Linked DNA regions of Neodiprion lecontei. The protein of the gene in region 3 binds, or shares a complex with, the protein of the main gene of each other region. Links are inferred from orthologs where the notes say so. Each region holds a gene or a part of one and is shown on either strand. Other genes may lie near its edges. The genes, in order: trafficking protein particle complex subunit 11, protein brunelleschi and trafficking protein particle complex subunit 8.

What was found.
Region 1: trafficking protein particle complex subunit 8 (region 3) and trafficking protein particle complex subunit 11 share a complex: the UniProt entries of both Homo sapiens proteins name them as parts of the multisubunit TRAPP (transport protein particle) complex. The link is inferred for Neodiprion lecontei from reciprocal best matches to the Homo sapiens genes TRAPPC8 and TRAPPC11.
Region 2: trafficking protein particle complex subunit 8 (region 3) and protein brunelleschi share a complex: the UniProt entries of both Homo sapiens proteins name them as parts of the multisubunit TRAPP (transport protein particle) complex. The link is inferred for Neodiprion lecontei from reciprocal best matches to the Homo sapiens genes TRAPPC8 and TRAPPC9.

The regions. Positions count from the first base shown.
Region 1 is NC_060264.1:3,294,827-3,298,583, forward strand, and holds the start of trafficking protein particle complex subunit 11, read right to left. Parts: upstream 2,725-3,757; 5' UTR 2,342-2,724; intron 2,199-2,341; 5' UTR 2,148-2,198; coding exon 1,956-2,147; intron 1,839-1,955; coding exon 1,669-1,838; intron 1,594-1,668; coding exon 1,405-1,593; intron 1,318-1,404; coding exon 1,144-1,317; intron 973-1,143; coding exon 805-972; intron 673-804; coding exon 468-672; intron 394-467; coding exon 220-393; intron 125-219; coding exon 46-124; intron 1-45. UniProt on the Homo sapiens protein: Involved in endoplasmic reticulum to Golgi apparatus trafficking at a very early stage.
Region 2 is NC_060260.1:38,739,174-38,742,930, reverse strand, and holds the start of protein brunelleschi, read right to left. Parts: upstream 2,716-3,757; 5' UTR 2,410-2,715; intron 2,099-2,409; 5' UTR 2,060-2,098; coding exon 1,122-2,059; intron 1,044-1,121; coding exon 770-1,043; intron 695-769; coding exon 496-694; intron 405-495; coding exon 193-404; intron 72-192; coding exon 1-71. Other genes in the region: 39S ribosomal protein L54, mitochondrial, read left to right, coding at 2,904-3,006, 3,330-3,634. UniProt on the Homo sapiens protein: Functions as an activator of NF-kappa-B through increased phosphorylation of the IKK complex. May function in neuronal cells differentiation. May play a role in vesicular transport from endoplasmic reticulum to Golgi.
Region 3 is NC_060260.1:32,023,543-32,027,299, forward strand, and holds the start of trafficking protein particle complex subunit 8, read right to left. Parts: upstream 2,762-3,757; 5' UTR 2,580-2,761; coding exon 2,423-2,579; intron 1,929-2,422; coding exon 1,487-1,928; intron 1,382-1,486; coding exon 1,136-1,381; intron 667-1,135; coding exon 160-666; intron 44-159; coding exon 1-43. UniProt on the Homo sapiens protein: Plays a role in endoplasmic reticulum to Golgi apparatus trafficking at a very early stage. Maintains together with TBC1D14 the cycling pool of ATG9 required for initiation of autophagy. Involved in collagen secretion.

The DNA.
Region 1 (3,757 bases), on a different chromosome or scaffold from region 3:
TATTCAAATTAATACATTTGCATAAAGTTATGGTAGTATTCAAACCTAAATGACGACGCATTCTTGGACATCGATAAGTTTTGAATTGGGAAATTGCATGTCCTAAAAGACCGATGATTATCATCTGAAAATAAATTATAAACAACTATTTCTGCTACCAATTTATCACACGCATCACAATATTATCTCTCAGCATTCCTGAGAAATTAATTGACTTACAGAATGGTTGACAGTAGTCTTCTCTTTGTGTTGTAAAGCTTGAATAGCCGCTGCTTCCCGTGCCATGTCTGCAGGCTCAGCACTCAATTTCCCTGGACGCCATGGTCTCTGACCGTAATATTCAAGTTTGTCTTGGCCTGCCAAAGGATCAGGTTCGGGATACTCATTAACATCCTGAATCATAATCAAATACAGGTTTAGATTCATTATAGATGAAATAATATAAACCAAGTCAAATATCTGCTCACTTTGCAAAGATCTCTGCACGCTGTTTGCCGCAAAGTAGCATGCTGAGCTGCCAGCTGAAAGTAGTATCCTGGATGCTGAGTTTGAACAGCAGGAAGACCTTGCCTGATGGCTTCATCAAATAATTCCGCAAACGTGGAGAACTGTCCTGACATCCACGCGTGATGTTCAAACATTAGTTCTTTGGGACCAACTTTCAATTTAAAACTGTAATGGTATATGGAATTTGAGTTATGATATTCCCTTTGAATGCAATCAATTTTCTGGTACTGAGGCCTACTAGTAATTGGTGAAAGATAATCGTACATGTAAAATTTTATATTGTAAAGATATACATACCGATCTGTGTGAGCTCTAAACTGCGAAATAGCATCACGGGGAAGATTTAAGTTGAACATTAGACGACATAGTTTGTAATTTATGAAGCTTGCAACAGTCTTTATTTCCAAAGCATTTGTGTCCACCATTCGTATATCAAGCAAGTTATTGTACGCCAACTGATAATGCCTGTGAAATAAACACTTGCATGATTAGAAGGGATTGGTTCGCGAATTGAGTTATTGAATACAAAAGTGTTAGCTATGATTCGAAGTTCTCAACAAGCTTGTTTTTTTTTTTTTACTAGTGTTGATTAGGTGTCCAGATTGAAATATCACATGAAAAATAATGACAACTTGCTTGTGAGCCATGTGCTGATCCTGTTTCAATTCATTTAGAAAGCCCATCTTAAACTGATGCCGGACAAACAAATATTGATGTGTAGTCTTGTTCAGGTGATCTCTGTGATTTTTCACGATGCGGGCTTCCAGGTGATAGAAGTTTTGGGCCAAATCATAGAAGGCATTTTCCAACCTACATGTACAGATTGTCATTAGTCCTATTCAAACTTGCTGAGCACACAACCAACAAGTATTACACTTTATTATTTCAAGCAACTACCTTAGAGTATAACCCAACAAGTGATCGCCATGAGGTAAGACATATAACGATTTAGCTGGCAATTCACATGCAGCACACAAAGCTGTAGCACGCTCAGTTGTTGCAGCATCTTCAGCGCCTGGTTGTGGCGGTGCTCCATGCTGTATTAGAACTACAGCAATCTTCGTACTTCTACCCTCGATAGCAGCTCTATAATTGTTTGAAGATTTGTTATACTTAGATATATTTTGATTTGTAACCAAATAAATAATCTGATACATGTACCTCAAGGATTGAACTCTCGATGCACATTCGATCTTTTTTTCATTCCACATAGAATCATTCCAATCCAAGTCATAAAATATAACAACGACGGATGGTATGTCATTTAGATATTTATTCATCCAATTTCGTTTTAATATCCCTTTGGGTATGTACCATTCGTAGGAGTTACGCTACAGCAGACATCGAAAGTTATTCGTCATGCCATTCAATTTAAGGGGACAAATTCTTAGTGAAATAACTTGAATATTCGAGTTGTTGTATCGAAGAGTGATCTAATGTCAACAGACCTTTGGTTTAACTGTTGGAAACTCATGGGCATTGCTTAATATTTTAAACTGAACAGCTGCACTGTCTGGCCGGCGATTGTTGCTGAATGCATCCCAAATCAATCGGTGAATCGCATTGTTTACTGTATCCAATCCGGTAACACCGATCAAAGCCAAGGGCTTTGCTGTCAATTCTGCAGGTAGTTCTGACATGGATCAATGGACAAGAACCAGGAATAACAGAACAGAAGTCCCAAGTAGAATCTGTTGTAAAATTAAAAGGGTCACATATCTCAATTTGAAAGCTGTGATAAGTTATTGAGTTCAAACGTTATCAAATCTATTTAGTTTGACATTTCAATTGAGGTTAGGCTAAATAGGCACACTTAACAAAATGTGTTTTAAACCTATTTGAGAATGGTTTGCGCGTAAACTGGGCTCAGCGCTCATGCAGGATTTGGCGATTTCTTCTTTTTCTTAAGTCTTTTAGTTGGCTGTCGGGTCCCTACAGAGACCCCTGTACCACTAGTTTTGATGATTTTTTTGAGTGACAGAAAACTCAAATGATGACAGCTACGGTGTCAGGGCGGAGTAAAGATGCGAAATACGTGGGTAACAGATCGCGTGCTACCGCGCAAGCGTTGGCGAAACGTCTGCTATAGTAAGAACGAATCTGTTATCCACGATGAATTGATTGTGTCAACTCCCAAGCCGATCAAGTCTCACACAAAAAATGAGAAATATGATTCCGAATAATTTTAAAATACACTTTCCTGACGGTCATCACAATTTGCGGAGGTTCTGGGAATAATTAAGGTTGACAGCCTCAACGGAAGAAATTGCGACGCCCCGTTGCAGGCAACCCCGACTACAACCTTGTCAATTTGTAGTATTTACATCAAAACGGCGTTTCATCTACAGATAGGACGTATTTTGACATGTGTGCTGGCATGTGGGATATTTCGGAATGATCCGAAATGAAAAAATCGGATATAGATATACATTGGATCAGTGTCGCGGTTAATACAGAGATCAGTGGTGTGGAGATCAGATTTTTTAATCTGGGAACGTTGGCGTGTGTAGATTTCAAACTTCCTACATCATATTTTGAAATCTGAGTGTCTTTAAAGGTATCGGAAACTCCTAAATAGTAAATTCTTTCCAATATTTTGTTACGATAAAACGTCAACAACAGAGACCACGTCGTTTCGAAATACGTTCATTATTATTTTCAACGCTCTTCCAAGAATAGATTTCGGAAAACGGTGCTGGAAAATGAGTCCCAAGTCGCTGCGTTAATTTCTGAAACCTTAAAGTCAAATAATTCAAATAATTAGCATTTAACCGTACGTTATTTCAGTTGAGTTTCTTGGTCCAATTTGTAAAAACGGGTCGCAAATTGGCAATTTCGAAAAACACGCGACTAAATTTTTCGAGACGCCATGTACACGTAGCTTTGCTAGAAAAAACGTTTGCGCACAGTCTCAACCCATTGCGATCAACGAATCGAAAACTACAACCGAAAACAGAAAAATTGCTTCGTATTTCTTTAGGTGTTGGTCCATTTACGTTTGGAACACTTTTTCTTGAATTCTTCTGGGCCAAATTAATTCAGAAAAGGTAATTGAAATTGATTTTGGGTATTAGTCGATTTCGAAAATGGCTAAGATAAATTTACTCCTTATACCAACGTTTCTTCAATTCAAAAAATTGTTCATTGGCATTATCTGTTTCCAAAAAAGGAATCTGATAGAAATCTACTTTTGTTGCAATCCTTGCTATTGTATATCAGAATTCTTCATAAATAGCCATCACCTTTTGTT
Region 2 (3,757 bases), about 6.7 Mb from region 3:
AAAGTGAATGATTTAGTTTTTGGAATGTTTGTTAAGTTAGCTGGCGGTATGACCATCCCTGAATCTAACACCTGCACAGGAAAAATACATGTGACATATCGTAGTAAGTAACAATGCAATCACTTTTATAATGAACACTAATTGTTTTATAACTTAACCATACTTGGCAGTACATGAAAAAGAACAACATACAAGGGGCACTGGTGCACCTTCACATTGCTGCGACACAGCTTGAAGTTGTAAAGCTGATTCCTTGCGTTCTGTAGGGCTCATATGATCATACATAGTCTGGAGCAAGAATGTCATGTGCCGAGTGGCGAGGGCTGGATTACCCATTCGCTTAGCGGCAACGACCAGCTCTTGTATGAGCTGAATTTGTAAAGTAGGCCAACCCCGCAAGCCATCTTGAAAAACCGGAGAATTAGTTAATAGTGAGACGTTTATACTTCCAGTTGTTGGTGGTTCAATTTAGTGAAAAGTTGTTCGCAACCTCACCAGAAGGCATTTCCACTGGATCAAGACTAAGCTTCAGCCCAGGTGCCGCTTGCAACATTAGATTATAACACTGCTGCCAATCAGGATTTGGATTATTTTGAGAAACATGCCTCGTAGCAGCTAGACGTAAACAGAAAGAGGCTTTGCGCGTGAAGCCAAAGGCAGTGAACAGTTCTGACAGTGTAGTGAAACGTTCAATCTGGAACAGAATATTTCCAACGTATTCAGCATTATCTCAAAAACATGCAATGAGTGGAAAACTGAATTTGCTTACTTTTTCATGCTCGCTAATGTTCAAATTGATGAATACAACATTATTGAGAAAAGAAGCTGCCTGCAAAGTGCAGTTTTGTTCTATAGAAATTCTTGTCGCCTTGAAACTTGCTTCCGTCTCAATTACCCCTGCGTTTTTGTGTTTGCTGTAGTGAACTATGGCTTCTCGATATTTTTTTGCAATTTCTTCAGGCGGTAAAATTTGCGGCATCTCAGCCTTGATCGCCTCTATATTAGGAGAAGGTGGCAAAGTATTCAAGGCCTGAGACTCCCTTCTGCAGATGAAAATGGGAATTCTTGATTACCTTGCAGACTTACTTTTCAATTCAACAACTTTTAAAACTTATATTTACCTTTGTTTCCCTGGACTACCTTCCTGCAAGGACGAATTTCTCTGTAAGGGAAGACTCCGACACATATTTGGATATAAGACTAGAACAGAAGCAGCACACAACCCCTCAAATGCAGCGCCGAGCCAGAGCCAATCCTTAACAGCTTGCAGAGTATTAGCAGCAGAATTGTAATGGTATAAAGCATCGGCAGGTAAGCCGGCCTGGAGGCAAAGATCTCCCAAGTGTTTGGTCATTCGTCCGACGCACCTCTTTCTCATGGTACCCGAGTCAAGGTCCAAACCAATGAAATCCTTCTTTTCAAACGGTGCAAGTAGCAAAGGAACACGGTCAACTTTTTCCCTGGATCGTTCAAGTCTTTTAGATTCTAGGATCCAAAAGAGAGAGTTTAGACATTCAGCAATTTGAGCTTCAAGGTCTGGGCAAGTTTCATCTGCGTAGAACAGCGCCCTTGTCTTAAAATTTGAAGGAGTCGTAAATGGTTTCGGTGGTTCATTTAAATTCTCAGATTCAACTGGTCCAAAAAGAATTGCTCTGGAATCGTAGAGGGTCGCGCTATATTTCACTTTCAAAGTTTCATGCAGTCTACAGAGCTCATCGAGCTCTGTCTGGCTGTCATATTTTCCTATAGTAATCAGGCCTAGGAGTCTTCTGTGCGTTTGAAATTCACTCCAATCGTTATTTTCAACTGGATGTTCCCTTACAAATCTGGCAAGAATTTCACGCGTTATACCGGTAGAATCAAGCACTGTAAATCTACTTCCACTCTTTATAATTCTCTCTCCTATTTTTGTTACTGTCTTCTGCTTCGTTTGAGTGCCAATTGGCTTCAATAGCAACAACAGTGCTGCGTGGTCGTGAGCTGTCTGCTCATAGTCGGGCTGAGACATCTTGTTGTCAGGCACCGAACTCGACAGAATTACACTGACTGCAGACCGCATTTATACCAACGCTACCATCAAGCAACAACCAAATGTGACCTGAAGACACAGAAAGTGGATGGTTTATTACATGAATGTTCAAGACTTACATCAATCTTCAAATATCATATTTCTTTGGTTTTGCTAGGTACACATGCACATTTTGGATAACCTTATACGGATTACAGAGAAGTTACTCTTGTTGTGTTTCTTTTCTTTTTCACTCAGTGTATTTCATTCATACTCGTGAAAACGCGAATGGAACATCTACAAGATTGACATAAATTCGACGAGTCAAAATTAGTCAATTCATAATTATTCCGCGCTGCTAATTTATTGCGAGAAGTTTTAACTTCCGAGTTTCTACCTACCTTAGCGGTGATCATTGTACAACGACGTGCAACGAAATTCAATTGATCAGAGCCTTAATTTATGGATCGGGAATTGCCGTTTGACAGCTTTCAACTCAGCTGACAAATAAAAGCTAGGTTAGGTCAGGTTGGGTGATATTAGTCAATAGCCGGTGTGAATTCAGAGTTTATTAGCGTTCTACAATGTTTACGTGATCAATGGATTTTGTATAATCGGACAAAAGGATGTTGTTCTGTCCAGATTTTCATTTCCACATAAATATAGTAATGAGAAATAAATTTATGTCGATGAACCAGATGGAATAGTCAAACTGTCAAGGCAGACTTGTGTCATATATGTACATAATCTTATTTTCACAAATCCGGATTCTATAACGAAGTGATTGTTGCACATACTCTCTAGTGTCAAATACGTACTCTACGGTTGTGTCCAATTGGTCAAATAGTTTGGTTATCTCCCACGAGGGTCGCGTGAGGGACACGATTGTGTTATCATGAGTCTCTCCTCGTCACTTTGTTTGCTTCGTTTAGGCAAAAATATTATAGTTCCGTCACAATATGTCGTGCAGATTAAAGGCTACGCGAAGGCAGATGCCGGTACGTATTAATGCATATCAACTCTCACATCTTTCATTGAAAATAGTTCCTCCGGAATTGTTTAGATTAGGTTAGACTAAGTTATGAGTTACATACGAACGGCATTTCGTGTTGCCAACCGACAGGTGAAAATATATCACGTGTTTGTCCCACAAGAGCGCGTATTTTAAACGTCGAATACTTTTCTCCTACCTTTCGACTGTTATACTTCGATATATCTACTTGATAATGGAAAACCATAGCTCTGCTTCTTTGATGTCAATTAATTGCGCAAGCAGTTAAAGTAAGTGCCATCTTTGTCCTATCTTCATTTCCTGTTTCAGGTGGTATGTTCGGAAAGGGGAAAAAAAAGCTGAAACTAAGTCAGCCGTTGGAGAGGAAGGTACTTCCAGTTGAAACAGATCCTGAAAAATTGGTAAAATTCGTGTGCGGAAGTAATATAATGAAAGAAGGACAGGACATTGAGATTAAGCCAGATTCTGAATATCCCGACTGGCTTTGGGACATACACATAGGCCCACCTCTTAAACTGGAAGAGCTGGATCCAGATACGAAAAAATACTGGAGGCGGGTGAAGAAAGCAGCCATGAGGAGGACCAATTTGATGGCCAAGTTGAAACCCTTCTAATGCTACCTTCGTAGTTTAGATTATACCGATTTCTTATACAATGTAAAAATAGATACTACATTAAGCTCTGTGAATGTTCGTGTACAGTAATAGTCAAAATAAAGATTCATAACTGACTTGAAA
Region 3 (3,757 bases):
TCCTAATCTCCGAAGTTGAAGCTCAGGGGACTCAGCAGTGTAGCTAAAAATATATAACAATATTAAACAGTAAATACAATTGAACTACATCGTTAGAAATAGTAAGACCATAAGTCATAGGGTTGACATTGAATATGTCTTCACATCGTACGTACTTACATCACTGCATTTGCTGGGGCAGATCCAGGTGCTCCAGGCTTGTTAGTAACAAACCAACGTTTTGTAGCACTAAATAAGGATCTACTAACACCTTTCTTATTGGAAATAACATCATTGAGCAGTCCAATTTGTTTTTCAACATATGGTAGTAAACTTTTCAAACAAAATTCTGTAATCAATGTTCGTAACCTCTCCAAATCCTGAGAGGACAATCTTATACCATGTTGAATGGTTGGCTGACTAGGTGAATCTGCCCAAACGTTATCGTTAATTGGAGTATTATTTTCCATTTGATTTTTCAGGGTTACTGACGGTATAAAATTGCATGAGGATTTCTCATTCTCTGGACTCAATGGATGAGTTGTAACGGGAACTGCTTCCTGTCCAACTTCAAGTGAACCAATTGATGATTCCGCTGCATCCGATGAAAGGCTTATTGTATCACATACATCTGGAGAACCCAACATTGGATTACGTGGCGCTATTGGGGTACCAGCCAGACTTGTTCTAAAAATCAATAGCAATTGTAAACAATAATAAAATAGCTATTGAACTTAGTCAATGAGAAAAATTATAAAATACAGTAGGCGCAAAAAAGAAAGACAATCTGTTCAGGGAAAGGAGAAGCTGTTGCAGATTTTATCCCGCTACTGGCATCAGTAAAATTTCGGATACATAGTTGTTATAATAGTACTGAAAAAGGACACAGTTGGGTTTATACATAAATTTAACAGTACTGATAAGGTATGTGACATTAAACTTTTGAAGATATTATTTTCTTGGAATGTTTATAGTGAGGGATAAGTTGATAGTCGATACTAAGCAAGAAAAAATGGTTTCATCTTGCTGTTGAGTGATTTGTTTACAGCAGAGCATGAAGCACCAGTCTTTGCAGTGACTAAAACCATAGTAACGCTACAATTTGTTTTTGTTGGATTTGTGGTAATGAAACCAGTAAAATAGCCAAGATATTCACCTGTCTGGTTCAGTCGTAACCTGACTAGGCATTGCAGATACTCCACTAGTATCTGCTGGTGTTCTGGGAGAGCTACTTTGTTCACTGCTTTCTGTTAAGTCTGAATGTTTACTTAAAAATTGACACCAAGGATCTGGTAAATGTGTAGTGTCGTCCAATGGACCTGGTGGTCTCGAGTTCATTTGTAATAAGAAACAATTGTTGGATCCATAAATATTCTTCATATCTGTGTACACTGTTTCTGCCCTAAAAGAAAGATTATTTCAAAGGTGAGGTTTTTTGGTTCCATGCAAATATTACATAGGAATGAAGTGATTTTTAAACAAAAGTGTATCCAATGACGCTGCTCACTTATTTTTATCATCTTGAAAAGTATCATGAATCAATATATAATATCTCAAGGCATTATTGTTGAACCATTTTGGCAGTTTTCCAGGTATACTTTGATTCAGCTGGGCACCCATATGCTGAATCTTTTCTAATGGATTATCATCCCCGGTTGAAACAATGATCATGCATGCCAGAAAATGTTTAGTAAATTCATGATCGGATGGAAACTGTACAGCCAAAAGCATCTCTCTCCATGACTCAAACCATGGGACGGACATGGGAATCTCTAAGTTCGTTGTCCCAATTTGCACAATAGTTGTTCGTTCACATGGTGAAGAGCTAACGGACTCATTAAGCATTTTTCGAGCTAAAGTAGGCTGTGGTGGACGTACGTTTACATCTTGGACTGATAAACGAAGGTTGCGAACTGTGACAGCCGCCCCTTGTGGATCTTTGATGTGCCCTATAAATTGTTAATATTGACAATAATGAATGAACAATGTAGTTGAAAATTTTATAAAGATAATGCTGCTGTAATGTGAGATATCAATTTCCATAGAATATGAAAATAACAATCTGGAATTAAGCTAATTTGCAAAAAATAATACTAATACAGTGTAGGCAAAAAAACATGAAACTTATTTGGAATCCTGTTCACACAAAATTAGGGGCAAAAAGAAACATGGTATGAGAAACATACATGATACAGATGATTATGTGAATTTAAACAAACATGTAGATCACTCGATTTTGCGAACTATTTTGTTTATTTGACATAACATCTGAGTTACCTAAATAATCTCTCAGTTGCATTCATTGAACAAGTACAGGATTCTGTGCTCAGTGGAAAGCTGTGTGAACCGCCTAGGGTTCAAGTTACACGAGAACTGATAAGGTAGTGAAATACGTTGAACTCTTAAAACTACAGTTAATATGAAATGCAAATGAAAATTTTACCTTCAGCATTGAGTTTACAAAACGGTTGTAGCAGTTCTATAAATGTCAAATTATTTTTTTGACAAGTATTTTCTGCAGCAGTTGAGCAAACGGCAGCAATCTGAGGTGAAAAACAGTTACTGATAAACTCTTGTGGGGTTAACTTGCACTGGGCCATGATTATTCCTTTTATAAATATGAAATTATTCCAATTTATGAATTCACATAGAGGTTTGGAATTCTATTTTTGCATTTTGGATGTGCAATCACTCATCTTCTCTAATTAATTGACTTAATTCTAGGTAAATTACAACTTTTGACAGTATGTAGCCATCGTCATATCTGTAGGGGCGACCATGATGAACATGTCCACGGACAGCTGTTTATTCTTGGTTTATTCCCTAAAAATTCGTTATCCAATGTTGGCATCTGCGACGCATATTTCATGCTGATGCGTATTCAAATGGTGGCGTTCGAAACGCCGCCGAGTTCAGACCGTCGGCCATCTTGCATGCTGTTAGCAGTTCGCAGTAGTTTCTGGAACGCCGACGAATCTGGACATGTTCGTTCGGGATACGCGCTCGTTGATTTTCTAATTGCTAATATACTTTATTATTTCCGAACCTCACTTTGTTCACGCTGGTACAGTGAAGCAAACTTTCAAGAACGTGATAACCGATTGTCTTGTGATAATAAATCGAAAGTTGCTTTTCACTTAGTAATTGTAACTCGCGAACGGATAGAATTAATGTCAGAAAGTATAACTATCGATGAGGTTTTTTAAAAATTCGTGATATTACAAATCGTGCAAATAATAATATTGAAAACTTGACAACAGGTCTCCTACAGTGAGTGTAAACTAACCTACTATGTGACAATTATAATATAAAAGTTCTCTCGAATTCAGAGTTTTGTATACTTATGTTACTGACGTGTTTCTTTGTTCCTCGCCAGAAATTTAATTTTAACGTATCTCTTCAATGATGCAGAATTTTTTACGCATTGCATTGCGGCTTGGTGAATTTTCTGCGTGATTCTGTGGTGCCTAAAATAGTTTTGTGGTGCATTCATGATCAGTGATACAGTGTACACGGTGCATAGGTAGTGAAGTGAAGATCGAAAATTAGCTGTGAAGATCAGCTTTGAATCTTCAGAAACAACCTAAAGTACAACGGGACAACCTGTAGCCTGCAGACGTTACGTGTTTGGTAAGCTTTGCATCTTTTGTTCCGATGTTTTGCTATCTAGTATCTGGTTAGAAACATGCGTTGACAAAATTCTTAAATCTCCGTTGAAATGCAATACTCGCAATTGAAATACAATTTCTACCAGGGTTCTTCTGTGTCAATCTTCTAT